Xenopus tropicalis: one gene and its partners. The protein of the gene in region 4 purifies or fractionates together with the protein of the main gene of each other region. This does not show direct contact. Links are inferred from orthologs where the notes say so. Each region holds a gene or a part of one and is shown on either strand. Other genes may lie near its edges.

Evidence for each region.
Region 1: the proteins of rela (region 4) and tnip2 purify together in Homo sapiens (affinity purification with mass spectrometry; 4 studies listed by BioGRID and IntAct, with this or other methods). This does not show direct contact. The link is inferred for Xenopus tropicalis from reciprocal best matches to the Homo sapiens genes RELA and TNIP2.
Region 2: the proteins of rela (region 4) and daxx purify together in Homo sapiens (affinity purification with western blotting; 4 studies listed by BioGRID and IntAct, with this or other methods). This does not show direct contact. The link is inferred for Xenopus tropicalis from reciprocal best matches to the Homo sapiens genes RELA and DAXX.
Region 3: the proteins of rela (region 4) and prmt5 purify together in Homo sapiens (affinity purification with western blotting; 3 studies listed by BioGRID). This does not show direct contact. The link is inferred for Xenopus tropicalis from reciprocal best matches to the Homo sapiens genes RELA and PRMT5.
Region 5: the proteins of rela (region 4) and rnf182 purify together in Homo sapiens (affinity purification with western blotting; 3 studies listed by BioGRID). This does not show direct contact. The link is inferred for Xenopus tropicalis from reciprocal best matches to the Homo sapiens genes RELA and RNF182.
Region 6: the proteins of rela (region 4) and hdac3 purify together in Homo sapiens (affinity purification with western blotting; 3 studies listed by BioGRID and IntAct, with this or other methods). This does not show direct contact. The link is inferred for Xenopus tropicalis from reciprocal best matches to the Homo sapiens genes RELA and HDAC3.
Region 7: the proteins of rela (region 4) and nufip2 purify together in Homo sapiens (affinity purification with mass spectrometry; 3 studies listed by BioGRID and IntAct, counting the BioPlex papers as one, with this or other methods). This does not show direct contact. The link is inferred for Xenopus tropicalis from reciprocal best matches to the Homo sapiens genes RELA and NUFIP2.

The regions. Positions count from the first base shown.
Region 1 is NC_030677.2:21,863,891-21,868,655, forward strand, and holds the start of tnip2 (TNFAIP3-interacting protein 2), read right to left. Parts: upstream 3,276-4,765; 5' UTR 2,897-3,275; coding exon 2,528-2,896; intron 1-2,527. UniProt on the Homo sapiens protein: Inhibits NF-kappa-B activation by blocking the interaction of RIPK1 with its downstream effector NEMO/IKBKG.
Region 2 is NC_030684.2:72,194,770-72,198,804, forward strand, and holds part of daxx (death domain-associated protein 6), read right to left. Parts: intron 2,973-4,035; coding exon 2,788-2,972; intron 1-2,787. UniProt on the Homo sapiens protein: Transcription corepressor known to repress transcriptional potential of several sumoylated transcription factors. Down-regulates basal and activated transcription.
Region 3 is NC_030677.2:140,172,819-140,177,573, reverse strand, and holds the start of prmt5 (protein arginine N-methyltransferase 5), read left to right. Parts: upstream 1-1,893; 5' UTR 1,894-1,966; coding exon 1,967-2,061; intron 2,062-3,537; coding exon 3,538-3,656; intron 3,657-4,194; coding exon 4,195-4,280; intron 4,281-4,481; coding exon 4,482-4,616; intron 4,617-4,698; coding exon 4,699-4,755. UniProt on the Homo sapiens protein: Arginine methyltransferase that can both catalyze the formation of omega-N monomethylarginine (MMA) and symmetrical dimethylarginine (sDMA), with a preference for the formation of MMA.
Region 4 is NC_030680.2:38,474,898-38,478,932, reverse strand, and holds part of rela (transcription factor p65), read right to left. Parts: intron 2,312-4,035; coding exon 2,163-2,311; intron 1-2,162. UniProt on the Homo sapiens protein: NF-kappa-B is a pleiotropic transcription factor present in almost all cell types and is the endpoint of a series of signal transduction events that are initiated by a vast array of stimuli related to many biological processes such as inflammation, immunity, differentiation, cell growth, tumorigenesis and apoptosis.
Region 5 is NC_030682.2:91,940,197-91,944,919, forward strand, and holds the start of rnf182 (E3 ubiquitin-protein ligase RNF182), read right to left. Parts: upstream 3,235-4,723; 5' UTR 2,987-3,234; coding exon 2,246-2,986; 3' UTR 1-2,245. UniProt on the Homo sapiens protein: E3 ubiquitin-protein ligase that mediates the ubiquitination of ATP6V0C and targets it to degradation via the ubiquitin-proteasome pathway.
Region 6 is NC_030679.2:27,758,337-27,762,371, forward strand, and holds part of hdac3 (histone deacetylase 3), read right to left. Parts: intron 3,865-4,035; coding exon 3,808-3,864; intron 3,726-3,807; coding exon 3,670-3,725; intron 2,829-3,669; coding exon 2,695-2,828; intron 1,489-2,694; coding exon 1,408-1,488; intron 1-1,407. UniProt on the Homo sapiens protein: Histone deacetylase that catalyzes the deacetylation of lysine residues on the N-terminal part of the core histones (H2A, H2B, H3 and H4), and some other non-histone substrates.
Region 7 is NC_030678.2:33,024,069-33,028,103, reverse strand, and holds part of nufip2 (nuclear fragile X mental retardation-interacting protein 2), read right to left. Parts: intron 3,668-4,035; coding exon 1,985-3,667; intron 1-1,984. UniProt on the Homo sapiens protein: Binds RNA.

The DNA of each region.
Region 1 (4,765 bases), on a different chromosome or scaffold from region 4:
GCTACTATAGGCACCATCTCTCCCTACTATACCTGCTATCCCACGGCCCCAGTCCTTTCCCAGAGGCTATTATCCCCCCACTGCTACTATAGGCACCATCTCTCCCTACTATACCTGCTATCCCACGGCCCCAGTCCTTTCCCAGAGGCTATTATCCCCCCACTGCTACTATAGGCACCTCTCTCCCTACTATACCTGCTATCCCACGGCCCCAGTCCTTTCCCAGAGGCTATTATCCCCCCACTGCTACTATAGGCACCATCTCTCCCTACTATACCTGCTATCCCACGGCCCCAGTCCTTTCCCAGAGGCTATTATCCCCCCACTGCTACTATAGGCACCATCTCTCCCTACTATACCTGCTATCCCACGGCCCCAGTCCTTTCCCAGAGGCTATTATCCCCCCACTGCCACTATAGGCACCATCTCTCCCTACTATACCTGCTATCCCACAGCCCCAGTCCCTTCCCAGAGGCTATTATCCCACTGCTACTATAGACACCATCTCTCCCTACTATACCTGCTATCCCACAGCCACAGTCCCTTCCCAGAGGCTATTATCCAACTGCTACTGAAGGTGCTGTGCTGCCTGTACAGTTCATATGTTGATATGTGTTTTGCTACTGAGCTTCCCACTCTCTTCTACTTACAACTGCTGTTTTGGTTGGAAAATGCTTGTATGACAAACTGGAATAACATTGTATAACTGCCAAAAAAATTCCTGTCAGCTGTGTCTATCACGAGTTACGATGAGTAGGTTTCCCTTATATCACTCATGTGCCCTCTAAATACTAAATACTTCAGCTGTGAGTCACATGAGCCCAAAATAAATCAAATGAATGGATATATAAATAGAAAATAGGGGTGCCCTGAATGGTACAGTAAATATATAAGAATGACAATATAGAACTAAAAATATGACTATTATTTGAGGAGACAGTAAGTACTGAGAGACTACACTACGGGATAGAGAGGCTGAGACTCCTGGGAAAGCACGTACGGGTTTAATTACAGTGATTTACATTAATGATCTATATAAGAGCTACTCAAACAGAAAGTAAAAATGAAAGATACAAATATTCCCAAACTGCTTCTAAGAAATCAACTGATCTTCTGGAAGCCACAATTCCCTGGGACAATATGTCTTAGGGTGAAGACACACAGAGCTAATTAGTAGCAGATACTTGTCATTGCAATTAAACACCAGAAAATCCCCTGCCATAGACAATACTGAGAATTGCCTCTGCTAAAACACATATAGAGACAATTATTGGTAAATGATCAGCATTGTCTAATTTTGTAGCCATGACAAGTAGCTGCTACTAGTAGCTCCGTGTGTCTTCACCCTCAGAGTTCAGAACTGAAAACTGCTACACGCATATAAGGCTGACATATTATAATGTACGTATGCTGCATAGTCACATAGTTCATCCTGCTGAGCACAGCCAGGGGATGGGATAGGAGATTATAGTATATTAACAACACGTAATACCTACACCATCTAGCCCTGTCACTTACATCTGAGGGGCACAATGCTGCTGGGAATACCCAGCCTATCACATTCCCTTTAAACCAAAGCCAGGCTTATTGTCTGGGTAAAATATCCTCAAAATTCTGCATGGCTGAAGCAAGGTTAAAAAAGACAGCAGGTAACAACACTGTAAACGAAGGGGTCCAACCAGCAGTTCTCCAATACGAACCCCAAGCACCCCTGAGCCCTGGTGGGCACTGTGGTTCTGCAGCTGGACAAGCCCATAGCGGGCACTGTGGTTCTGCAGCTGGACAAGCCCATGGTAAGCACTGTGGTTCTGCAGCTGGACATGTCCATAGCGGGAACTGTGGTTCTGCAGCTGGACAAGCCCATAGTGGGCACTGTGGTTCTGCAGCTGGACAAGCCCATAGTGGGCACTGTGGTTCTGCAGCTGGACAAGCCCATAGTGGGCACTGTGGTTCTGCAGCTGGACAAGCCCATAGTGGGCACTGTGGTTCTGCAGCTGGACAAACCCATAGCGGGCACTGTGGTTCTGCAGGCTGGACAAGCCCATAGTGGGCACTGTGGTTCTGCAGCTGGACAAGCCCATAGTGGGCACTGTGGTTCTGCAGCTGGACAAGCCCATAGTGGGCACTGTGGTTCTGCAGCTGGACAAGCCCATAGCGGGCACTGTGGTTCTGCAGCTGGACAAGCCCATGGTAAGCACTGTGGTTCTGCAGCTGGACATGTCCATAGCGGGAACTGTGGTTCTGCAGGCTGGACAAGCCCATAGCGGGCACTGTGGTTCTGCAGCTGGACATGTCCATAGCGGGCACTGTGGTTCTGCAGGCTGGACAAGCCCATAGCGGGCACTGTGGTTCTGCAGGCTGGACATGCCCATAGCGGGCACTGTGGTTCTGCAGGCTGGACATGCCCATAGCGGGCACTGTGGTTCTGCAGCTGGACATGCCCATAGCGGGCACTGTGGTTCTGCAGGCTGGACATGCCCATAGTGGGCACTACAGGTCCCAGTAGATGCACAGAGGGCATAGCTACCTGGCTCAAGGATTCCACCTTCTCCTCACATGTCCTCTCCGTCTCCTTCAGTCTGCTCTTCATTAAAGCCAACTGGTCCATCAAGCTCTCCACTAAGGACCTGGAGGAGGAGACGTGCGGCGGAGGCTCGGTGCCCAGGGCAGCCTGGCTGGCCATCAGCTTCTGGATGAGACTTTCCTTGGCAGTGAGTTTCTGTTTGAGGCTGCTCACCTCCTGTTTGGCTTCATGATAGAAAGAGTTGAGGACATGGTAGCTCTGCACCTTTTTCTTCAGTGTCCTGTTTTCCCTGTGCAGTTTATCCACGGTTTCTTCCAGCACCTTGAACCTGGCCACCAGCGCATCTGTGCTGCCATCACTGATAGAGGACATTGTACCAAGGGGCAATCAGCACTCTCAGGCGCAAGCAATCCGGGCTGGGGCGCTAATCAGAGCACAGCTGGCTGCGCAGTCAGTACATAGCAGTCCGTGTGAGTGAGGCAGGCAGGCTGCATGGCGCTATTATACACCGGAAGGCGGGGCTTGGAAATTCCCTCTCACCAGCGGAGTTTTCTAGTACTTTTACTACTAGTAGGGCTCCGGGTCTCACACAGAGAAATACCCTCCGCTCTCCCCAAGGGCAGCCCGGCTCTTCCCTGCATGCCGGGAGTGGCTCCCAAGCTGCCCGGGGAATCTGACTGCGACCCTGCTCGGAACATCCAGCCGCTTCCCTCTGCCAGTGGCCTCCATTGCTTCACTCAGCGGAGGGACTGCCTTGCGCCTGCGCACTCCGGCATCTGTATTAGTGTTGCTATTTACAGATAGAGAGCAGGGGATAGGGTAGAGAGAAGGGCACACTGATAAGTAAGGAATTTGGAAGTACATAGACAGAGCCATACATAGCTAAATATGGAAGGGGGTAGATAGGTATATAATGGGAATTATAGACTAGTAGATAGATATGCCAGTGGGTACATAGATGACAGACAGGCCAATAGATAGATATGCCAGTGGGTAGATAGTTGGCAGAGAGGCCAATAGATATGCCAGTGGATAGATAGTTGGCAGAGAGGCCAATAGATAGATATGCCAGTGGATAGATAGTTGGCAGATAGGCCAATAGATAGATATACCAGTGGATAGATAGTTGGCAGATAGGCCAATAGATAGATGACAGATAGGCCAATAGATAGATATACCAGTGGATAGATAGTTGGCAGATAGGCCAATAGATAGATATGCCCGTGGGTAGATAGATGACAGACAGGCCAATAGATAGATATGCCAGTGGATAGATAGTTGGCAGAGAGGCCAATAGATAGATATGCCAGTGGATAGATAGTTGGCAGAGAGGCCAATAGATAGATATGCCAGTGGATAGATAGTTGGCAGATAGGCCAATAGATAGATATACCAGTGGATATATAGTTGGCAGATAGGCCAATAGATAGATGACAGATAGGCCAATAGATAGATATACCAGTGGATAGATAGTTGGCAGATAGGCCAATAGATAGATATGCCCGTGGGTAGATAGATGACAGACAGGCCAATAGATAGATATGCCAGTGGGTAGATAGATGACAGACAGGCCAATAGATAGATATGCCAGTGGATAGATAGTTGGCAGATAGGCCAATAGATAGATATTCCAGTGGGTAGATAGTTGGCAGACAGGCCAATAGATAGATATGCCAGTGGATAGATAGTTGGCAGATAGGCCAATAGATAGATATGCCAGTGGATAGATAGATGACAGACAGGCCAATAGATAGGTATGCCAGTGAATAGATAGATGATGGATAGACAGGCCAATAGATAATCATCAGAGGGGCCAGGTGTGCACCTAGCTGGTCCTCCCTCCACCCAACGGCCTGTGTCCCCCGCTCCCCTGCCACTTGTGCTAAGTAGGTAAGAGAGTGGCTGGGGAGGGGGGCTTCTTAGACCTATAGATATATAGATAGAGGAAGCAGACCCTGCGGTCTAGGCCCCCTTCCCACGGAGCATTTAAATATGGCATAGATATTTAGACACGTGACAGTTAATTAGCTTTGGATTAAATGGGTCCCATTGTGCTTGCTGTGTGAATGTGAAATTAGACCATAAATTCTACTGGGGCAGGGGCTGATATAATGAACCAGCTCTAGGTGATTAGTTGGCACCATATAAAAATAAAACATAGAATAGTTATCCTTTATATAGTGCCATCATGCAGCACTTTACAGAGATTAGGCATCATTCACATCAATCCCTGCCCCGGTG
Region 2 (4,035 bases), on a different chromosome or scaffold from region 4:
CAAAGCAGAATTCTTTGACGAAAGGTCTCATAAACCTGCATCTAAGTAAATGACCAGAAGGAAAGAATATTTCCCTTATTATGAATACCCAGTCAATGTTCCCGAAGGGATGGAGAACATCTCTTTGTGAACAGCTGCATACCTAAAAAAAAAAATACAGTCAAATACCGTGACACCGATATAATTTTGAAAAATACCGTGATATAAATTTTTGGTCATACCGCCCAGCTCTAAGCTAGGGATTGAGGTGGTCCACATGGCATTGGATTCCAGGAGGTGTGCATAGAAAGGAGCTTTTTTGATATGTGTTGGTTAAGTGCTGTTTCTAGGTCCAATGAGACCAGGTTTGGGGTGAGGGTTTGGAACTTGGCCAGAAAGGCGTGTCTTAGCTGTAGGTATCTGAATAGGTGCACTTGGGGTTCTTTTTCTCACAGCTCTTGGTGCGTAGGGAACTGTACACCTTGGGCTAGGTCTTCTAGTTTCTTGATCCCCAGTCTCGGACAGACTAAAAAGTCGGGTAGGTTCTTGAGGTGGGGGAGTAGAGAGTTTCCCCATAAGGGCATGTGGGGGGATAGGTGGGGTGGTGGGTAGCCCATGAGTTTGAGTGCCACTGCCCAGGCTTTGTGGGGGGTTTTGAGAGAGTCAGGTAGGGCGCTCCCATCAGTGATGAGTCTGTAGGGGAAGTTGCTTAAGCCTTTCATGGAGTTAAGGAGGGAGGCGTGTAAGGCCGTGTTGGGGTTGTATGGGTTGGGGCAGAATTGCCAGTGTAAGTATGATATTTGGGAAGCCAGGTAGTAGAGAAAAAAAGTGTGGGAGGGCTAGACCTCCTTGTTGTACCGGTGCTGCTAGCTGTTGCCATGAGATGCGCGGCATTTTGTTTGCCCATACGTTTGGTATTATTAGGGTGTTGAGTTTGTGGAAAAATGAGCGTGGAAGGGGGTATGGTGTGGCGTGGAATATGTACAAAAACTTGGGGTGAAAGACCATTTTCAGCAGATTGATACGCCCCCAGAGTGTGAGTGGTAGTTTTACCCAGGTTTTCAACGTCAGGGCCAGTTGGTCCATCAGTGGGTCGAGGTTAAGTTTGATAAACTGTGTGGAGTCTGAGTGAACCCGGATATTTAAAGAATTGGACCCATTGTAGTTTCATACCAGATGGGACTGCTGGCGTATGGTCTAGGGCAGTGCTGTCCACCTTCTGTGGTACCGAGGGCAGGAATTTTTCCGGCCTCCGTGGTGGAGGGCCGATAAAGGAAGCTAGTTTTGACCACTCTCCCCTTTTTAAAACCACACCCACGTTATCGCATGACCATAGCCATATTAATGGTGGTAGTACAGCAAAAACCTGCCAGACTCTGCCTGCCCTACCCTGCCTGTGTGCGCGCCAGACTCTGCCTGCCCTACCTGCCTGTGTGCGCGCCAGACTCTGCCTGCCTACCCTGCTGTTGTGCGCGCCAGACCTCTGCTGCCTACCCCTGCCTGCCCTACCCTGCCTGTGTGCGCGCCAGACTCTGCCTGCCCTACCCTGCCTGTGTGCGCGCCAGACTCTGCCTGCCCTACCCTGCCTGTGTGCGCGCCAGACTCTGCCTGCCCTACCCTGCCTGTGTGCGCGCCAGACTCTGCCTGCCTACCTCTGTGTGCGCGCCAGACTCTGCTGCCTACCCTGCCTGTGTGCGCGCCAGACTCTGTGTGCGCGCCAGACTCTGCCTGTGTGTGCGCGCCAGACTCTGCCTGCCCTACCCTGCCTGTGTGTGCGCGCCAGACTCTGCCTGCCCTACCCTGCCTGTGTGTGCCATACTCTGCCTGTCCTATGCTGCCTGTGTGTATGGCACATACAGGCAACATAGGACAGGCAGAGTATGGCACACACAGGCAGCCTACAGTGACGCAATGCTGGCACTGCACCTACAGTCTGCACAATAACTTTATATTAAAAAACTTTTAATTGCAGTACCACCACAGTATATGTTCTTTTTATAGTGTGCAGGGTTTATTTGTGGGTTTCTACTGCTCCTACAGTCTGAGGTTGGCTAGGTACACTAAAATGTTGTCTGCACATAGTGATACCTTTTTGGATATGTTGGCATATTTGAGACCTTGTATGCTGGGGGAGTTACGTATGAGTATCGTCAGAGGTTCAATGGCAAGGGCAAATAGCATGGGGGAGAGAGAGGGCAGCCTTGGCAAGTCCCTCGAGAGAGGGCGAAGGGTTCTCAGGTAATGCCGTTGACCCTGATTTTGGCTGTGGGGTTTTGGTATAACAACTGGACCCATTTGATGAAATGCTGCCCCAGGCCAAATCTTTTGAGGACCTCCCATAGGTAGGGCCATTCAACAAAGTCAAATGCTTTCTCCGAGTCTAAAGAAGCGATAACCCTCAACCCTGTTTCCCTATGGGGGGTTTGTAAGTTTGTTAATAGTCGGCATAGATTGATATCTGCTGCTCTACCTGGCGAGAGATCTACTTTTAGTTATGCTATCCCATTAAGGTCTACCACCACTACAGCATTGTATTAGTTCTATTGAAGTTTAGTGGAAAATTTGTTACATTAATGTGATAAAAAATGTTGCTTAATATAGCAGTATGTATTAAGAATGCTACTTGATAAGCAAAATTGGTTGTTATCCTTTGCCTGTAGACAATGCTCTGCTCAAAATCTACATGTAAAAATCTACACTTAGATCCAAATTTATTTTTTGACACACGTTGATTAGGGAGTGGAGAAAATATTATTGGCACAAACAGTGGCCTTGTCAATGACGTTACACATTAAAAGACTGACATACTTGTTCTCTCTTGGAGCTGCTTGGACTTTCACTCTCCTCTTTTATTTTTCTGCTTTCTTCATCCTCTCCCTCATCCTGCATTTCTGCGTACTTCTTAATAATGTCATCAAGGTGAGATAATGCTACACCGCGGTTCTCACGAAGACGCCGAGTCAAAGCTGGATCTTGGAGAGCAGGATCAAACCCTAGATAAAAAAAAAAAAAAAAAGAGAAGGCTCCAATGGGATTATCATACATCTATTTAGTAACGGCCTTCAAAAAGGAAATTGTTGATTTATTTACATTAAATTTTTTGTGCCAACATAATGCAACCAATGAAAGTAAAAATCTACTTACAATACAATGCCACATGATAATGTTATTCCCAGTTCTAGTTGGCAACACTTTTTTCCTAGTTATTAGTTTTTTGGTGGTAAACAGCAACAATGTATCTTCAATGTGTCTCCCTGGTGACTGACATGCACTATCCTGGAACTGTTTGATATGGACTAGTGTGGTGCAAAGGTGGCCATTTGATTGTTTGTTAATAAGAACTGAATCAATGACCTCATGCTGTCCCGATCCAATGGGAAAATTAAACCTGCCTGATTTTTTCCCAGATATTGATCAAGGAGATCAATCAATCAGACTGCAGTCAGTCTAATCTAAACTGCTTTACAGATTTCACTTATGGGGTTTTGGTACTTGGAGGAGAGTTTATTTACCTCTCAAGCCTAAAGGTGGCCATACACTAGCAGATCCGCTCGCTTGGCGATGTCGCCAAGCGAGCGGATCTTCCCCCGATATCCCCACCTACGGGTGGGCGATATCGGGGAGCATTTAGGTAAAATGCGGATTATGTGGGCGGCAATGGGGCAGTCGGATGGGGGACCACATCAACGAGCCGATGCGGTCCCCGATCCGACCGGATTTTCTAACCTGGCCGATCGAGATCTGGCCAATTTCAGGCCAGATATCGGTCGGCCAGGCCGCTCTGCTCTCCCCATACACGGGCCGATTAGCTGCCGAATCGGTCCAAGGGACCGATATCGGCAGCTATAGTCGGCCCGTGTATGGGGACCTTTAGACAGACTGTTTGAACATGCCAGGGACAATATCAACAGACTCAATCAGTTCCAAGCCAAATCCAAAAAATCCTTGAATCACAAAAAAACATGTAATTTTACAAAACACGCCAGTTAGTAGAGCTTCTCCAGCAGAATTCTGTAAGGAGTCTGTTTTCCAAAAACAGCAAACACATTTTTTTAA
Region 3 (4,755 bases), on a different chromosome or scaffold from region 4:
CTTTGCCACAGGGGAATGTCCTTAAATATACCACACCCTCTGTTTGGCAATTGAAATAATCATTAATAAGGCGTTTCTTATTGAATCTATCCCTTATGTATGTCATGTTATAAATGTACTTGCAGGCCTTACAGTTCCCAGACATAGAGGTACCTTTTACTGTTTTTCTCTGGATAGTGTTTTGAAAATGACTAGAGACAAATTTATCTTAAAGATTGGGAGATCTTTGGCAACGTCTGTGGGGAGTCCCTATGTATTTCCTCAGCACTGTATCAGTTCATAAAAGTTAAGTTTTAGTGTTATTCTGTGATCTTTTAGCCTGTTTGATTTTCATGTTAATGGTGCAGAACTTCATGGGAGCCTTTTTGTAGTCACATTATCTGTGATCTCAATTGAAATTTATTTCCATATTACTCCTCCTGCACATTACACAATTAAAAAAAAATGTTGGTGTGGGTGGTGCGCCCATTTTTCCATTTATTTCTAATTATATTTTTTATCTACAGGCAAAAAATATATATATTTTATTGCTTGGATAGCTATTCCCTTTTATTCTTACTTGCTTGTTCTCCTGTCACTTCACTTGCTTAGCAGATGCTTTTATTCCTAGGGGTGCAGAGCAACAGATTTCTGTGCCCTATAGGGAATGTACAGTACATGCAGTTACTGAGTAAATAGTTCACGGAATATGCAAGTTAAACCTCATTCTCCTGCCTCTTTCCTCAAATAATACAAAAACATTGGTTTGTAACCCAAAAGTGGACAGGACAGCAGCTGCTAGAAAAATAAGCTAAGATATGGAAAGATCATGGCAATGGCATTAGCAGAAAAGTTAAAAACAATGGCCATAAGAAAAAAGGGGGGAAATGGAAGAATAGTCAAATTTAAGATTGACAGGTCCTACTGTCAGTCAAAGCCTTTTCCCTTTGTACTGTATTACTGTGCCTGCTCAGCAATTTTACCAGTTTCTTCTGAGGGTTGTGATGGGTGAATGGATGAGTGCAGAACATAAAGATGGTGTGGGGTGCAGGGGAAGGGTTTCCAAGTGCGCATGGTGATGGTGAAAGCCAGTCCCCATGAAGATCTGCAGGGGGGCCCAGCCATTTTTTGTTATGCCAACGAGCAAGGATTTTTAGATCCCCCTCACATAGAAGAGAAAAAGCCTGGGCATTTTACAATGTTGGCAGGCTCAGGCTAGCTCTGTAACAGTGCCATAGGGCAAAGGCAAAGTACAGGGCCTTGTTGTGGCCTGCTACAGCTTGACTTGTTCATCTGAAAGTCAAAATTATTATTCAAAATAAATATATGTTGTTGGATGTCAGAATTGAAAGGGTTGGACTGGAGTGTGCAGGTTCATTATTATTATTATTAACATTTATTTATAAAGCGCCAACATATTCCGAAGTGCTGTACAATAAGTTCTTAAAAAATATATATATAAAAATATATATATTGCAGGTTCATAAAAAATATAAAATATGAATGTACATTTAAATGAATGAAAATAATCCAAATGTAAAAAAATATTTATAAAAAGTATCATAGGTTCATAATTATTAGGCAAAAAGAGTCACTTCGAGCCAGCCAGGAGTCGAACCTAGAATCTTCTGATCCGTAGTCAGACGCGTTATCCATTGCGCCACTGGCCCGCTGACATGTAAAATAGTTTAGACTTTTTCTTTTGAAAACTACATTCTTGTCCCTCCCACTGTGTACGCAGACGTATTTGCTCCAGTCATGCACTCAGCAAGCCGGCGAATGCATTTGGCCCCGCCCACTTTCGTTTACTCGCTCTTGATTGGTTTTCACTTCTGCTTGTAAAACGTAGCTGTTCCTTTCATTGAGTCGTTTCTGTTCTTCTAGAGCTCAGGGTTCCGCCCCCAGCAGCCGGGGGCAGATCCTCATTGGCTGATCCGAACTGTTGTCACAAGAACGGGGTACCGCGCGTGGAGTGGAAGTTGGCAAGATGGCGGCAGGCGGCGGAGGCCGTGTGTCCAGCGGCAGAGATCTCGGCTGCGTGACAGAGGTTGCGGACACACTGGGGGCGGTGGCTAAGCAAGGGTGAGCTCTCTGCCATAGCGCCCCGGAGATGTCTATAGGTTGTGTTAGCGCAGTGACATGTGCACGGATCTGTGAAGCCTGTGCATCCGAACATGTGCCCTACATGTGCCTTTCATTCACAAAGCCAGGAGTTCCCCTACCCACAAACCAGGCTCATTGGGGTGGGATGCTACTATGTACGCAGGGGTATTGAGCCCCATATAGGGTACCCAGGCTTGGGCTTTCATTCAAACGATTAGGTCCCCTCGTTAAACCTACTAAACTGACCCTGCACACTGTACTTCGCATCCAGGATAATAAGCTTTGTGTATATCTGCCCTGAAATATTCATACATTGCGGGTTAGCAGAGAAGTGCCACCATTACAAAGCGGGCCCTGTACCCTGTGCAAAGTAAGTGCAGGGCTCCTGCTCGGCTTTGCCCACCTTTCCTTTTCAATTTTGCATCTCGTCTTATATAAGGTGCATTGTATGTGTACAGAGAGGCCGTAATGTCACACTTCCTAGATGAGGCTTCATGCAGCCCTTTTACAAGCCTTGTGCTTAATAACTGTGGTCCAGAGCTGTACAGCAGGGAATACCCATCAGCAGTGCCATAACTACTACCACTGGAGGGCCTGGATTGGTAGTTACCCTGGTATTCCCCTCAGCACCCTCTCTCCTCCCTGCATCTGTGCTGTCCACTCTGTGCAGGAAAGTCAAGTTACCCCACTGCCAATTGGTATCAAATGATCAGACTGTGAGCTCTGTGGGCAGACAGTATAAGTGGCCACACAGTACAGTCATCTTTCAGTAGTTTTTTGTTGGCCTTAATTCTCCGATATTACAGGTCTTCATCATTTTCTGCCTTGTGCTGGTCGACTGGGTGTAAGGCCTGTTGATAATTTCATACCTGATCAAGGGTTCATCTAGTGTCCAGAGCACAAAAATATTGGTTAGATTATCTGCCAAAAATTTGAGACTTCATATGCTTCAGTAAATGTGCAGCTAGCCTAATCATCAACTTTCTCAATTTTTATTGGTCAGTATAAGGCCACTTTACAAGTAGTTGCAGTACACAGTTATGTCACTACTGCTTTGTAAAGTCATAATTACCATTTTATTTGTATTGTTTACATCTGTCTATGTTGTTCAGTAAAGCCTTATATAAAATATATTCCTTAATTGTCTCCAAAAGGCCAACTGTGGGTATTTAAAATAAATAAATACATTTTTTAAAGTGGTGGCAAATTTTCAAATTCACAGACAAATTAAATTTAGATCATTTTAATTTCCTAGTGTTGCTGGCCCTTTAAGCTATGATTTTGGTGCTTTTGATGCAGTTTTTGGAAGGAACATTGTTGCAGTTTTGTTTTGCCAGCAGATAGTTTGAACAAACCCATAGAATATAATTACTTGACAGTAAAGCACAGAGGGTGCATGCTATCTTTAATTGGTATATATAAATGTCATGTACAATGTCTTTTTAAATATTTTAGGTTTGACTTTCTGTGTATGCCGATCTTTCATCCTCGCTTTAAAAGGGAATTTTTCAAGGAACCTGCAAAATCGCGCCCAGGACCACAGACCCGCTCAGACTTGCTGCTTTCTGGCCGAGGTGATCTGCTTTCTTTTGTATTAGATTTAAATAAAAGGCAATGAGCATATAATACTCATGGGAGATCTACTTGAACTGAGATATATGCTCCACCAAATCCCCCATGCCTGTCTCTTATGTCATTGCTCTTGTGCCACTTACCCGTTTGTGTGTTTTGGGCTTGCTTCATTCAGTCTAATCTTAATCCACCTAAGTCTGGTAGTGCTAGAGGTATACCCAGATTTAATTGGGCCTGTGAGGGGCTATTTGTGACTTTGTGTACTTGAAATGCTTGGGCCTATTTTCTATCTCAGTCCACTTGTGACTACAGGTATGTTTCTGCAGCTTGGGGACACAGTCTTTATTATTGCAGTTCTGCTGGACCTCTTGCCAAACATCAGATTAATGTATAAATGTAAACACACACTGACAATATTCCTGCTAGCAGTCTATAGCTGCATGTTGTTAGCTAACACTATACCTTTATATTTGTGCAGTCATTTCTTGGAGAACAAACTATTTATAAACATATATATAATTAATTGCTCTTCCTCCTTAGACTGGAATACATTGATTGTTGGGAAATTGTCCGACTGGATAAAGACAGATTCTAAAGTGTCTGGAATCCGCAAAACCTCGGAAGCGGTAAGGGAAAGCAGAAAGCTATTACACACACTAAAAACTGGAAAAAGCACAGTTTCCTGCAATATAGTTATGTTATAGGATAATTACATATCATACTTGTTATGAACATTGTGTTCAAGTAATATTTGCATTGAATGCAGCTTCCATGTTTCCTTTTTCTCTTATTGACTACTGTCCAACCCCCTCTTTTTACTTTTACAGGCTTTGCAGCAGGAGTTAAATTTTTCTGCATATTTGGGGCTCCCAGCATTCTTAATTCCTCTTAAACAAGAAGACAACAGTAACTTATCCCGTCTCCTTATCAACCACATTCACACAGGACACCACTCTACAATGGTAGGATACCATTTGCATTTGCACGTGTCTTTGTATTATATTTCTGCTGCTTAATTTAACTTTTTGTGTTGATTTATTTTAGTTTTGGATGCGAGTTCCTTTAATGGCCCCTAATGATCTACGTGATGATATCATTGAA
Region 4 (4,035 bases):
CTTAAGTTATGGAGATCCAAATTATGGAAAGATCCCTTATCCGGAAAACCCCAGGTCCCGAGCATTCTGGAAAACAGGTCCCAAACCTGTACCAAAATCTGCTCTCTGTGCCTGCACCCAGGCTGATGCAATGATTCCAGGTGCAGGTACAGGGAAAGGCTGATGTAGCGTGTTTATCTGCAGGGCGAGATTCAACCCTGTGTGGCAATAGCCTTAAGCACGGATGCCCAAAATGTAGATCTTGAGCTGATGGCCACTAGATCACAGAGATGAAGCATACAAAATAGAACCATACACTTGTAAAGTCTGTGAACCCCTGTTTTAGACACACACCAAAAGCGGTACTAACCTGGCGTAGGAACAATAATAATAACATTTTAGAGAATGCTGATGTTTTAAGAGACATTACTACTAAAGAGCATTTTTTTTTTTTTAATCTTAAAGGACGTCAACCCCCAAAAAATGTTTTTGCCTAATAAATTAGAAACATAATTCTAAGCAACTTTCCAATATCAATTCGTTAAAAATTATTACTACTTTAAAAGTTGTGTAAACGTAATTGCTATTGAAAGCAGCATTTGCCGAAATCCTGGTTGTTACTTTTTAACAAAATTGCATGTGCCAGGCTCCTCCAGCAAGGCAGGTCTGTCACGATTACGCCACTTCAGATGCACGTGACTGTAGGCGTGGCTGTCTAGAGGGTCCCTTGCTCAGTCTCACACACCTGACACACAGGTCAGACTAGCATCACAGCACCCCAAAGACCAACCAACGCTCACAAACTCATACACAACTTGCTGCCACCACTTTCATACTTCTTACACTGGCGATGAGAGATGCCAAGCACACTGGTAGAGAAAGGGTTAATGTAAAGAACCGACACACACACTCTCCTTACCAGCAGTCAAAGGGTTAATCAGCACACAGCATACAGAGGGCTAAGGCACACAACACAGTTACACACTCGGAGGTTAGGTACGTTTTAGAGCATCAAGGACAAACTTATTAAATTTTATATTTAATATTATAAAAAGTATAACAGTGCAAGTTTAAAACAAGATGTTACAACAAAGGACATACGATAAAACAAGTACAAACAGTTTTAAAATAAAAAGGGAAAAATATAGAAGTCCTATACTATACCAAGCAAAGTCCTTCTAGTCCTGGAGGCAAGGGGAAACCACAGGATAAACTTCCAATAGAAATTGGTCCTCCACATAATATCTTCAGAAGAGCTGACTATTTATCCCAGTTTGCAGGGGGATCAGGTAACTGGACACTCCCCCCTCCCTCAGGAATGCAAGGGGTGTCACCATTAGCAGGACACAGTGTGAGTTTTATGGCCTCCTGTGTATGGACTGAGTGTATGGGACTTGTCCAATGATACCAATGTCCATAACTCCTTGTGGGAACATGATGAAATTAGATTCATCAATTCTTAATGATCCCACCGGTCCCATACAGACTAAACATCACCACTGTGTGACCTGCCCCTGCCCAGATACTCCTATCTGACAAACCAAGTGCCCAAATCCAGTGATGTTTGGACCCGTATGAAAGGCCATCTTAAATGAAACATATACTCAGGTTTTGGTACCTCTAGTATAAATAGTATGGGTTCTGGGACAATAAATGTTTGTGAGTTTGGGTTATGGTGTGACCTCCACATCACCTATGATGGGTCCCAATGTGAACTCTAAGTCACCCCCACGTGGGCTTTCACTCCCCCACATGGCATGGCTCTTATCAGCCAGGGATTAGAGTTGGGCATTTCAGGATGCGAGGCCTTTACACATGGCTGGTTCCAGACCCTAGTGACCAGAGGCCTGTTATATATCTCTTTCTGGCACATTTCTGGAAGATTTTGGGATACCTTGGCCTGCTTGATTAACCCTTACAGGCCTATATCATGACAAGGTCTGTCAGTCTGCTGCCTTGTGTTACATTGCTTCAAGTGCCAGAGCCACCAGGGCAGAGACTAGAGAGGACAGGTAGACACTGCTTTTAATAGCAATTATATATACAAATAACTAAAAAAAATAATGAATGAATGAAGTAATGAATGTATATTGCTTAGAATTAAGTTTTGTTTAATTAAGCAAAAAGTTATTTTTGGGGCTGACAATTCCTTTGAACAGAAGTGTAACCAAACCAATCATTACCTGTGAATACTACGATCTGGGGAAAGTTCAGCTTCATAATATCCATCCTTACAGTCCTTTCCTACCAACTCATGAGGGTGAGGTTTGTGTGGAGAATCCTTAGTAACTAGGGATATTCGAATACGCGCTGAGCCCTGGTAATGGTTTATCTAAAATGACCATAAAGAATGGAAGGAATCAATCAGACAATAAAAAAATAAATAAAATAAATGTGCAAATGACAAAAACCATGAATGAACAAATCAAATACTATGATGATGGTAAAGTGATGATTAGAATGATCAATAAGGCTAAAAAATTTTTCACTTCCCTTAATAAACAGCTGGGTAAAGAGCTATGAAAGTACAGCCATCAGTTAAGTCAAACAGAGCCCATAAGTTGACCGCTATCTTGTAGGCCATTACCAACTATGCCAGTGTGTCTTACAGCAGAAAATGAAAAAACATACATTATCTGACAACAATGGCTATTCAGACACTGAAACAATTTGTTCATTTAATGAACAACAAATCCTGCAATAAAACGGTGTTCTTTTTAGTCATTTCGCTTTTTGTTTAGCAGCTCTTCAGTTTGGAGTTTCAGCAGCTATCTGGTTGCTAGGGTCCAAATTATATAGCAACCAGGGAGTGGTTTGAAGGAGAGACTGGTACATGAATAGGAAAGGACCTGAATAGAAAAAAAAGTTATAAAAAGTAACAGTAAAATTGTAGCCTCACAGGGTCAGTGACCCCCATTTAAAAGCTGCAAATTGTTCAAAAACTATAATTGGCCATTCTATAACATACTAAAAGTTTACTTATAGGTGAACCACTCCTTTAAAAGGGACAGGGGTCTTTTTTTCACTCAGGGGCAGATTTATCAAAGTCCGAATTTCGGCTAATTAAAAGTATGATTGGCAAAAATTCGGAATAAATACAATAATTTTGGATGTGTGTTAATTGTGAGAAAATTCCTATTGTGTTTGTACGCAAATATCGTGGCGCAATCCGAAAGTTCTGAAATTTTCGTATCCGAACGATCATAAACGCCGCAAAAAACTTTGACTTTCAACCTTCAATGCATGATTTTGGAAGCCTCCCATAGGATATAATTACACTTTCTGCTTCCTTCTGTTTTAACTAGATGTGCAGAATAAGAAGCAGTCCAACAGCATTATGCATCGCCACCTCACTTCACTGTAGGTCTGCATCAGCGATATTAAGTGTTTTGCATAAACACTTTCCTTTAAAGTAGGGTGGCACAAAAGAAGCCATTATGCAAACGAGCTATGCCAGGTCATGCCAGCTGAGTATCTCTCAGACTAATTAACTGAAACACAAGTGTCATCTGACCTGAATAACAGAGAACATGTGCCAGAAAAAATGTGACACCAAAAATTACACCTAAATTGTGTGTAAAGCCGGTATGCATTGGAACTCAAAACACATAACACTGTTAGTGCTCAAAAGGGGGGGGGGCTGAATGCTGTTTGCATACAAATATTTTGTAAAGTCACGTTAAAACATCTAAATCACAGATAATACACTTATTGCAGGATTTGTATTCATCTGTACAAATTGTTTAAATGTCTGAATAGCAATGTGTCTTTTCAAGTGAGTATTTATGAGCTTTGCACACTGTTTGCAAGTGAAGTCTAAAGGGGGCCATACACAGGCCGATTTCAGCTGCCGATTCTGGTCCAAACCGGTTCGGCAGCTTATCTGCACCCCGATGCCTACCCGATGGATATCTGGCCTCAAATTGGGCAGATCTCGATCAGGCAGGCTTGATTTTCTGTCAGATCAGGGAGCACATCGGCTCGTTGATGCGGTCTCCGATCAGAAGGCGTCTATGTCTGCTATTGCAATTCGATTGTTGGCCCTAGGGATGGCAT
Region 5 (4,723 bases), on a different chromosome or scaffold from region 4:
AGAACCTTTTCCTTTCCCAGAAGCTTTGGCCTCTTTGCTTTTCCTTCTGTGCATTCTCCCCAAGCACCACATGCTCACCCACCACCCCACTTTCACTCTGTGCCAGCCCATCCCCTACAACATTCCCATCAGCCACCAAAGGGCATTTTTCTTCCATCCTTTCCCCTCCACCAACTGGAACATTTGCATCATCATGGGAGACATTTTGGCTCAAGTTAATGATCTGCTCCATGGTCTCCTTGATCTCCAGCCCAATGTCCTCCAGCTTTTTGTTTAAGGCTGATGGTCCATGAAGCAAGTTAGTCGCCCATGATAGATCTCTGCTACCAAACCAAACCAATGCATAGGCCTTTCCATTGGCAACTCCTATTGTTTCTGGTGGCAAGACATTTTGGCATGGTTAGTCGCCTGCTGTAGCAGAGATCTATTGCGGGCAACTAACTCACTCCATTGGCCATCATCCTAAAGCTGCAGCCTTTCTGGTGCCCTGGGGCTTTTGAACCCCACTTGAAACAGTCACACTCTTTATCTCCTGCTTCAGTGTTGTTTTCCTGCTTTGCAGCAACTCCATACTCCTTAGTACAGAAATGTTATCAGTCACCAGCACCAGGGGCACCACTGTTTATACAGCACCCAGCAGGGCCCTCCCCCATGAGTGATGTAGAAGGCAAACCATTCCCTTTAAGAACCATGACATTAGCAGCAGTGGATGGTAAACCAAAAGCAAAAAGTAAAGCATTGCCTTTAAGGCCCATAACAGCAGCATTGGAAGGATTAGCAGTGGAAGGAAAAACATTGCCATTAAGCACCATCACAGCATTTGCAGCAGAGCCAATAGGAGAGATATTACTTTGCCCCATATTCAATACACAGGGTAAGTCATTGTCCCTGGACACCAGCACGTCAGCAGTGACATTGTCAGTCACATTCTCTGTGGGAAAAAAACACCCTTGTAGAATGCACATACACAGACATACCTGCTTTGACCACACTCTGGCGCTCCTCCTGCCACTGTCTGTGTTCCTCCAGCACTTCCTCTGCAGTATCAGCAGCCAGCAAGTCACAGTCCCAGGGAGAGGCAGAAGCCTGTCAGTAATTAGCAATACCGAATTACTATGTAACTACTAAGGAAGCACAATTTAAGTATAGAGACTGCAACCATTTAGGATGTATGAACCAGCTTTTGCAGGCAAGGCAGGGATATTATCAGTGCAATCTCTGACAAAATATACTGACTTAAAGCAGTGGGAGCCTCAAATATTTGTATCTGATAACGGTGGTCAGATTATAGTAATCAACTCATATCAGCAGCAGTTACCTACTTCCTTGTTGTTAGCCACAGTAACAAGGTGGCATTCTGAAAGTCTGCATAAACCATGGATGAAACTTTCCCTTGTGCCAGGTGGAGAATCACAATGTTTTTTCAGGATGCATTCCTCCCTTTGGGTTATGTGCTTTGTGTATAATGCTGTTCCTCTGTGAGCGTGCCAGTCATATGTGAATGCACATCATGCCCAGCAGTTGCTAGTTTCAATTTAAATGCTGTTATTGGTTGATGTTATATATAGTTGGGAGCGTTACATAGCATTCATAAATATTTGGGTTGATTTTCTCTTCCTATTTGTGCAGCATTTTTAACCTTAATAAAAAAAGATAAAAGTAGGCAGAAACCAGATAAAAACACATACAGCTATTGAGAGACTTAAAACAGTTTTTCATTATAGTGCTTTTCAGTACAATACCTGTAAACGATCACATTTTCTTTGCTAGCATTGCATTATCACATGATATCTTTTGAATTGGGCTGTAGGGCTGTAGCATAGAAGCATTCTAATGGTGACACTAATAGCTAATTACGTTGAACATCACAGCCAATGAGAAGCAAGCAATATAAGTATGTTGCTTGGCATTACACACTTCAGTAGTAATTAAAACAGCTTGTGTGCCACTGCCCAAAGCCTGAGTTACAGCCTATAAATACAATTACACCATGTAATAATTCTCATTATTTAATATTTCAGTAAATATCAGTAACAGATCCCCCACATGACTAAAACTGGGGTGGTAATGATTTTTTTACCAACATTATTAACTATAAGGCAACAGACAGGAGTCATAGTGAACACTGCAAAGAAACTTATTAACACAAATCTAATTCAGTTAAAAATACAGGTAAAATATCTTGACTATTAAAGATACAAAATTTTTCCTAGAATGGACATTTGATGGCGATACGGTTAAAGGACTAAGACGTCGACATACAGTCTAAAAATTCATGACACACACACTGACAAAAGCCATATACCATGAGAATAACAAGGCTAGATGGAACAAGGCTGACAAAGACAACCCCAAGGGTGACTTTTTTTGACACCAGCAAATAGATCCCTAAGGGTAGGGAGCTGAAGTAAAGTAACCCTAACAACCAAACAAACACACGCACTGAGGTTTGGCAGATCAGTGAAGTGCAGTTCCACACTGTCCAGTTCTGAGGTATTGAAACTGGGTCGTAACTTGAAGGCCTGTAAAACTCTACCACAGGAGTAGCATTCAAAGCAGGAGAGCTTTCCCTCTGGACCTCCATGATGGTAATGACAAGGCAGTTGGCAGAGGTGTGGGAGGGGGTGACAAGAGTTGACAGACGTTTTGGGGTCAGAAGCAGCTCTGTTGGGTTGTCTCCAACACATTTCCCCCTTCCACCACATGCCAAGTTCAGTAATATATTATTGTCATCTGGAAGGCTGCTGACTTCGTCCTCAGGCAAACGGGTCTCAAATCTGCAGAACGGGCACACAATAACACATTGTGGGGATTCTCCACAGTCCACCAGTTTGTAAAGGCATTTGGCACATACTCTGTGGCAACAGCCAAGTACCTTTGGTTTCCTCTGTCTCAGATTGTAACGGTTGTAGCAGATCTTACATTCAAGCTCATCAGGGTTCAGATTGGGAGACTCTGAATTATCTTCAGTTAGCTGACCTGTCATTATGTCTTTAGTTGAACAGTAGGAATGTTAGTGCAGAAAAACATAAAGCAGCACTCATGTACAGATCATCTAAGTCTCCAGCCTGGAAACGGGCTCATCCACCCTCACACTACGGCAGGGGAACTGTTGTTGATATGTTGCTGGGATATTCATTACTTCTCTGCATCTCCCACTGGGTTCTGAAACAGAGGATTTTACATGGTTAGATGCTTTGACAATGCAATAGCTGTGAATCCAAAAAAGGAAACTGCAACTGGATGGTGTTACTGGATGCTTCCAACTAGTAAAGCCCTAACATGATGACATTTGCATTTGCTCCATAGAAAGATTTGTCACATGCTTTAGCTAACACCTCTTCTTCTGTTTAACTACTTTAAAGAAATTCATGAAAAGAAAACCTATATTTCAGTTAAGTGGGCTAGAATTAGAACACATGTCTATCTTAATCACTGACATTTTTCTAAAGCTGCTGAGAAATATATCAATAAACAGTAAGTAACTGCATATTGAGCTAATATTAAAGGGAGAAAATTAGATTAATGTTTAAAACCTACATTTTAGAAAAAACAGAAAGAGCAAAAAAAGTGATTGTAAGACTTTTGAATTGCTGGTGAATGCAGTGAGATTCTGCAGGCACTTACAATAGTCTTGTAGAATAGTAAGGTGGACTTCCCATATAAAAAGCATGGCCATAGTCTTATTGGACCACTTTGAGAACAGGCAGTTATGGGACCAGGTTAAAGGAGAAGAAAAGGTACAATCACTGGGGGAGGCCCAACATTTTAGCACCCCGAGTGATTTCACCTTTCCTTTTGCTTTAAGGTCCCATGAAACTGTAAGGTGTAATCAAAGTCACATTTTTTATTGTACTGTAAGGCAAAAACATGTAATTGGTCTATTTATTAATGCACAAAAGAAAAACACACATGTAGACCAATGAACAACTTGAAACCCTTAGTGGGTAAAGCTCTATTCAAAAAATAATTTGGGCAGGTAGACTACAAGGCACCCCAATTTGTGTGTTAATACAGTCACTTGCTTAAAGAACCATATATAAATTGAGGTATGGGGACATTTTTTTATAGATTAGAAAAATAGAGCATCAGAACACCTTTGTGACAGAGTTTGTAGCAAATAAGTAGAATATTCCAAACTTTAGGACTTCCCTAACAAGCAGGCATTTTCAGTTGGTCCTACACAACACAACATTGCAACTTTGGAACTGCATTTTTTGGATTGAGGAAGGCTACCTTATCAAATATGATGCTTTTTAGAATATTTATTTCTCTTCTTATTATATGGATTTTTGTTTACAAGGGTTACTATTGCTCACCCCTGTTGCACTGAGCAACAGATATAGGCTTGACATTTGTACAGTGATTTTTGCTGATATGCTAATCATATAACCCTTCTGTTAATGAGACTAGGACACCGACACAAAAGGTGGCCACACACGTGGTGATTTGCGATGGTCGCACGAAAGATCGTTCAATCCGCCAATAACATTCAGGGCTGAAACGGCAGATAAGGAGGCAGAAACAATAGGATTTTTACCTCCTTCTACCAATTCAGCCCTGAAGGCAGATCTTTTAACTCCTCAATTGATGTGTAAAGCTGGCCATACACGCACCGATAATATTGTATTATCGGTGCGTGCATGGTTATTATATGATATATTATTATTATATATATTATCGGTGCATGTATGGCCAGCTTTACACATCAACTGAGGAGAAT
Region 6 (4,035 bases), on a different chromosome or scaffold from region 4:
ACAGTTGTGCCATACTCCTTCCATTTCTGAATGATCGCTTGAACAGTGCTCCGTGGGATGTTCAAGGCTTTGGAAATCTTTTTGTAGCCTAAGCCTGCTTTAAATTTCTCAATAACTTTATCCCTGACCTGTCTGGTGTGTTCTTTGGACTTCATGGTGTTGTTGCTCCCAATATTCTCTTAGACAACCTCTGAGGCCGTCACAGAGCAGCTGTATTTGTACTGACATTAGATTACACACAGGTGCACTCTATTTAGTCATTAGCACTCATCAGGCAATGTCTATGGGCAACTGACTGCACTCAGACCAAAGGGGGCTGAATAATTACGCAAACCCCACTTTGCAGTTATTTATTTGTAAAAAATGTTTGGAATCATGTATGATTTTCATTCCACTTCTCACATGTACACCACTTTGTATTGGTCTTTCACGTGGAATTCCAATAAAATTGATTCATGTTTGTGGCTGTAATGTGAAAAAATGTGGAAAAGTTCAAGGGGGCCGAATACTTTTGCAAGCCACTGTATTTCGTAGATAACACACATTTTTTAGTAACCCTGTAGCCTTTAGCTGTAAAAATCCCCATACAGAACCATTGCAATTCTAAATATTCTAGTTGTCATTAAACCAGTGGAATGACCTAATCACTGAACCCCTCTTGTGACAATGCTTTCAAGGGTCACTAAGCCTTAATTTTCTCCCTGTATTTTTCAAGCAAAAAAAATGTACAGCTGAATGTATAATGTGTTTCCTCCTGCTCCATTTCACCTAAGGTTTCATGAAGGGATACTGGCTTAATTTGCTATTTAAGCCTCTCATAGCACACACTGGCCACAACTTACTGTATCCCAAATCAAACGCCACCCTTTAATGCTATAATCTCCTAATAATAAATCAGCAAAAGACAAAGAATTAAGTTATGGAAGAATTCTCGTAAAGAAGAATTAGTGTAAACTTTCTTAGCGTGATTCTTTGAGCTCTCTTGCTTTCTTTACAGTAACTTTTTAAAATGAATAGCAATAAACAATTGTGATATTAGATATTAGGAGTTTTATACTACTTGGCAGGCTTTCAGCTCAATAGCTTTTTGAAGACCCTGTGTCACTGCTCATTCTCAGTTGAGCCAAACACCTGGTATTAGCAGTCTGCAGAAACTGCAAATATTTCTATATTTTTAGACACCACATATAAAATTAATGTGAATTAATGATTTTAGCCTGCCTTTAAAAGAAAATACTTTTATAATAAGACATTACCATACTATAGGTATGCCCTTGTACCAAGCAGAACCTACTAGAAAAATGTATAGTGAACTTCAGTGTACACTCTGCTTGTGAACCAGGTATAGAACAAAAGATGATTGTGCCACCCAACTTACAGACCTTACTGATGGAAGCTGGAACTTACTTTGATCATCTATGCCATCTCTTAAGGGAACATTCAAACAGTAATATCTTCCACTTTCTGCTCCCACTTCGTACATATCCCCTATAGGATAAAACAGAAGCTGAATAATAAATATAATCAAAGTTTGTGGGGTTAAATTATCGAGTACCTTTCTTAGGCTCATGGCAATAGCTGACCATTTGTTTCTGGTAATGCCTTACAAGGCACCAGTTTGGTTATCAGGTAAATGTGTATGCTTCATGGAGGTGTGTTTTAAGACTCTGTGGGACAAAAGAGTGTCTGACATTGTGGGTTAATGAATTCCACAGGTATGGAGCTGCTCTAGTAAAGGTGAGCATGTGATGAGGTTACTAGAGCATCATTACCGTATATAGTCGAGAATAAGCCGAGGCGGAGCTTTCAGCACATTTTTCATGCTGAAAATCTCGGCTTATACTCGAGTATATACGGTAAGTTTAAGATCATTAGAGGATTGAAGTGGTTGATTTGGGGTGTACCTGGAGATAGGGCTGGAAATGTAAGGTGGAACATTGTTACTGAGGGCTTTGTAGGCGAATGTAAGGAGTAATAATTACATGGTCCTTCCCTACTGTTTTTTTCTTGTGAGGAGCTTCAGCTCCATGGACTTCCTTTCAGAACCAAGTCATTTGCTATCCTAATTAATAACTAACTCACACAATATTTAACCTATTGGACCATGGCTTGACAGTGTTTCATCACTTTAAAGTAAATACACATTATTATAGCTCTCTTTTGCATGCAGAACAGCAATTTACATGTTAGTAATGTCTGAATACAAAAAGGGTGCAAGATTGGCTACAGGAGGAAAAAAAAAAAGGTATACACAAGTGTTTATCCATGTAATCCAAATATATAATTACGTTTATCCATTTTGCACACTCGGCCGTTTCAAAGGCTGTTTATTACTGGTGAGCGACTGCCTACACTAGCAGATAAAGACTATTTTAGTATTACGGTCACATACTGGTGTATCTATTGTGAAGGTAGAAAAATGGCTTAGAAATTTGGACACAAGGGCAAACAGCCAATTATTCTTATTATTCTGACTATAGACCTTTCTTGCCTATTGTCTGGAATATAAAAGACTGGCTGTATATCAAAATGAAACATTTTATAATGCTATTTGGCCACTAGTTGCTAATTTATTATTAGCAAAATGATTTACAATAAGAGTAAGCATTTCAAGACATTTCTCCACCTGTGCTCCAACATTATGGTGTGTGTCCAACTGCCCTCATTTCTACTGTTCCTTTTAACAGTACTCACCTGTACCAGGGAAAAAATAATTCCCATACTTGTGAAATGATACTGTCATAACTCTGTCAGTGAGGTAGAATGCTTCCTGTACTCCATCTCCATGATGAATATCAATATCTACATAAAGAACACGAGGATGATACCTAGGGGTAAACCCACAAAACATTATGTTAACATGAAGTTCATAAAACAGGTAACATCCCTTTTGGGAAGTTATGTGCATCAGACTAAAACACAAGGAGAAAGAAATTAATTAATACTGCACAGTATGTGCATGCATTAACCCCTTTTGGGAAAGCAAGCTTCCTTTTGGGAGCACCCCTTGCAATTTTTCATTGTTTTTTTTTATTGTTTTGGATAAGTACCAGAGATTACAGGCCACACAAATGCACAAATAGTTACTACAGCTAAAAAATTTTGAAAAGTGAATCAAATGTATTTTTCCAAAACTACATGTTACTCTAATATTAGAAGCTGTTATTAGGTTCATAACTGCAGCATCCCAGAGAATGGGCAAGCATTCGCAGACTAGGCATTGTAAAACCAATGTAGAATGTATTATAGGATTATAAAATAAGACAAATTATCATAGGACTGCATCTACATCAGGGGTTCCCAAACGTTTTTACCTGTGAACAACTTTTAAATGTAAAAAAAGTTGGGGAGCAATGCAAGCATGAAAAAAGGTCCTAAAGATTGACCAGTAAGGGCTGTGATTGGTTATTTGGTAACTCAGTGTAGACTGGCAGCCTACAGGGGCCTCTGTTTGGCAGTACACATGGTTTCTATGCCTCCAATTCAGAAATTAAAAAATAAGCCCCTGCTTTGAGGTCCTTGGTAACAACATCCAATAGGTTGGTGAGCAACATGTTGCTTGCGAGCCACAGGTGGCGGATCACTGATCTACATGATGACAGCATACCTATTTATGGAAGTTTCTTCTTTTAGGAGAAAGCCATTTTAATTCAGATTTATGGTACTTACTTAAGTAGCTCAAGAATGCCAATAACGATGTCATTCACATAACAAAACCCAGATGCCTGTGATAAACAAAGAAATATAGCCGTCAATGAGGAAAATATGGCAAATATCAGGTTATGTTTTTAAATATCAAACAGGTACCTCAAATTTTTTAGCATGGTGCAGTCCGCCAGCCCAGTTAATTGCAATGTCACAGATCTGTGGATATTAAAAAGAAACAAAATCAAGAGCTTATTTAAGAAGAAATGCTATTATTCCTGTCACATTCTCTAAATTTGACGTGTCTTATTCAGATTAATATAAAACTAAGGGCTTTAAGGACACACGGAAAGCAGAGAGCACAGAAGAGACAGACATCCTCTATACATA
Region 7 (4,035 bases), on a different chromosome or scaffold from region 4:
TAGCATCAGTAAGATGTCATTTTACTTTGTACCAATTTGATCATGTTCTGACAGTCCCTAAGCTTAGCTCACACTGAGCATGTGCAGTGCCACAGATACAAAAATTTCAAATACAGGGAGCTGCCATGGACAACTCTGATACAGGGCTACTGAACCTCTGGCCTGCTACAGTAAGTGCAATATTTCTAGCCATATACATTTTAGGATTTATTTCTTTTTTAAGTGACCGTTAAGGATTGCTGAACTACTAAACACAGTTGATGAGCTATGAATGCGTGCCAGGCTGAGGCACTGTGCTACTGTTGTTTCCATAACCCATTCACTGCACTGTATCAGGTTTGTGTTGTCATAACCAACATGAATACACAGCCATTAAAAGGTTTATAAAGAAACACCGATTGGGTATATATTTATAGGCAATGGCCCAGCTGTAATAAGCAACAGGTCACCTTTCAAGCCCAAATGCAATAAAAAATGAAGAATGAAGATTCTGCACACAAACACATACTTTAAAGGGGACCTGTCACCCTAAGAAATAATTCTAAATTCTTATCTATTAGGTTAGTCAATCAAAAACTTCAGTTACACTATATAAATGATTTAAGTGCTGTTTCCTTCAGTCTTGGAATTACACAATCACAGCAAACAGGCAGGCCCCATTTTGTAGACCCACATATAGATGGTGAGGATGAAGGGGGAATGAGGGGAGGGCAGTGACATCTGTGAAGGGCTGAATGGAAAGTGAAAGGAATCGACAGCTGGGATTCAAAAATACCTTTATAATGGGTATGGATGTGTTAATAAAAAAAGGAATTTGGGTTTCATATTTAATCTGAAAAGGACTTTTATTATACGGATTTCTATGTCAGGGTGACAGGTCCCCTTGAAGAAATGGTGCATAAAGGTTAGCAGAGTATGTGAAAACCCAGTAGTGCTACAAAAACCAGACCATGTTTAGAGTCATATTTAGGTAGAATCCCCAGTGTTTAATCAGAACTCAGGTTGCCTTAATTCGGCAGCTAATCAGCCGTGTAGGGGCACTAACGAAGGGCCTGCCCAGGCAGGTTTAAAAATTTAGTCGGATCGGGGACCGCATCGGCTCGTTGATGCGGTCCTCAAACCGACTTTTCCTATAACCGTCGTTATAATGCGATCGTTTGGCCCCAGGCCCAAATGACCGAATTGGCCTGGATTCTCCTGATATCGCCCACGCGTAGGTGGGGGATATCAGGAAAAGATCCGCTCGCTTGGCAACATCGCCAAGTGAGCGGATCTAAAGGTGTATGGCCACCTTTAGTCTGACACAAGCCTTTAGCAATATATACCTCTATAATGCTACCAAACTGTGATTATTTAAGGGTCACAAATGATTAACATATGCGGACAATTTGCAATTTTATTAAGCATATTATATTTCCAAAAGTATATATTTGCCAAACAATAAAAACAAACACAAGAGGTATTGTAACCCTCAATAAGGGCTCAGTAGGGCCTGTACTAAGCATGCCTTTTTAATACACTAGTTTCAAACTGGTTCTGCTGTGTCACTGTTTGTAGGAATATTTAGTAAAATGTATTATGAGTTGAAGCTGAGGGAAGGAGGGGTGGGTGACGCTATGAGAAGGAGTACAAACAAAATTTGATATTAGAGCTCTGTAATAGCAAAACATTAGGAAAATAAGGACATTGAATGTGCTTGTGTTGAGCAAAGGTGCAAGAATCAGGAAGCTGGTAACACAGGGAAGCTGAAAGTAGCCTATGCTACTCATTGGACTCAATGCCCCTTAACGTTTTAAAATCAAATGTGTCTATTTTATTAGATAAGTGTGCCTTTATACATCAGAAATGTAATATGCTCATAACAATCCAAATAATCTGTATGATCAGCCTGCTGTCCCAGCTCATTTTAATACATGGTTAATGGTCATTGCACTGAAGCAGTGCTTTTACATGGCAAGCAACATTAGGGAATCAAACGTGTTACCTTTAGTGTGATAGATAATAGCAGCCCTCAGGTCGAAAGAACCACAGCTATCTTTCCATTCAAGGCCTGCATGGTACCTCTTATCTTTGGCGGAGGTCTGTAAAGTGTTTTTCAGGGGTGCCTGGGGCGAAATATCTAACTCATAGACCTTGGACTGAAACACTAAACAACCCTGGCTAGCAGCATCAGTCTTCTGTGGCTCCCCTAAGTGCTGCAGGTCTGAACATAATCCAGACCCCTCTGCCCCAGAATCAACAGTTGTTTTCATGGTAGAACCTTCTGGAACCTGAGGGCTAGTCCGTTTCTCTAGCTCATAGGCCTTGGGGAAAACTGGGCGCTCATTTCCTGAGGCAGCAACTTCAGCACCCTGTGAAGCTGCTGGGATGGGGTGCTCCCAGACCATCTGCCCAAGTGAAGGCTTGTCCACCCCAGCATCTGGACCAGCACTGGGCTCATTTATAAAAGACAAACCCCACTGGTTCTGAAAAATTTCACCCAGGCTGTGTTGATTTGACTGACCGGACAGTTCCCCCTGCATTGTATCCGGCAGTGCTTGTTGCATATTTAAAGGGTAAGTTAAAAGGCTAGGCTTTTTTTGTTCATTGGGTGTTGGGGCAGAGAGTATATCTGTGGGCAAAGTTTCTGCTCCAGCAGGCAGTGTGTGTGATAAAGTACTAGCAGCAGTGGCCAAGAAACTTCCATCAGGTCCTACTAAAAGGGGCCCATTGGAGAAATTAGCTGTAGATACCGACTTCATGGCAGACATGGGAACCTGGGAAACACAGTTCAAAGTTGGAACTTCCCCAGCTGCCGGAGAAAAGGCATGGGAAGATAGTGAAGCAGAGTTGTTCAAGGCTGCTTTGTTGAGGTTTTCCTTAACTTTGCTTGCATAACTTATTTTAGGAACGATTTTAGCACTGCTGTTGTCCACTGGAAAAACGGGGGGAGGCTTAAACAATGACCAGGAGTCCTCCTTTGAGGAGGCAGTTGTAGAAGCTTTGCCTTTGGGCCGGTCATCAAATTTCTTTCCTGGTACCGTTTTGGTATCAGAGTTTTTCCTTTGCAGATCTGCAGAGTTTGGTTTACCCCGACCAGCTCCAGAGGCTGCAGCCTCACATTTCCAAGAGGACTTTCCATTGTCCAGTCTAGCTCCTCCTTTCTGGTCAACTAATAAATCAGGCTTGGAGTTCTCAGACTCAAATTTGACATCAGAGTCTATCATCTTGTCTATTACAAAGCTAGACCCATCAACAACTTTGGCATTACTACACCTGGCTTTCCTTTTTTTAGGAGTAGCGTAGCCACTCTCTGAGCCACTGCCATCATTTTCAGCACCTTTACTCACATAACCATTAGTTATATATCCAGAGTTGTTTGCCAGCAAACCGTTCTGAATGGGTCCTGCCTCAACCTTGTCTGTGTGTTTATTATCCTTAGGCTTGCTTTCGTAAGACTTCTCATTCTTTTTGTCCATACTGTTTTTATGAAGCAAGGTTTTAACTTTGCTTCCACTTTTCCCAAAGCTCAGGGCCTTGGATGAATGCTTGGTACTGGCGTTGCTGTCGACGGCCTGTTGGTTCCCGTTAGTAACCCGAGAAGCAGTCTGACTTGCAGCCTTTTCAGAGTCAAGGGTCTTTGGAGAGGGGTATCTTTCTGTTGCAGTACCATTTAGGTCTCCATGGCCTAGGGAAGGAAAAGAACAGTGTAAGCACAACAGAAGAAGCGCCAATGCCACCAGACCCCACTTCACTCACATTAAGGTAGTCAAATAGTCATTTCTTTACAATTCATTGTACTAATAAAAACAGGACTTTAAAAGAAAAGGTGAATGAAAAAGCAACATTTTTAAATAGTTAACATATTTAACTAACCCTTTAAACAAAGCATATGACCTTTGGGCTTGGTCTTTATGGAGGCTCAAATTATATTTATTTTTAAGAGAGAAATAAATGCATAAACCTAAAGACCTCTTCATAAAAAGCATTATTAAAAAGGCTAGAGGTCAAAAATAAGAGACGAAAGGAAGATTGCCCAAGTTTTTCCGAGAAGGA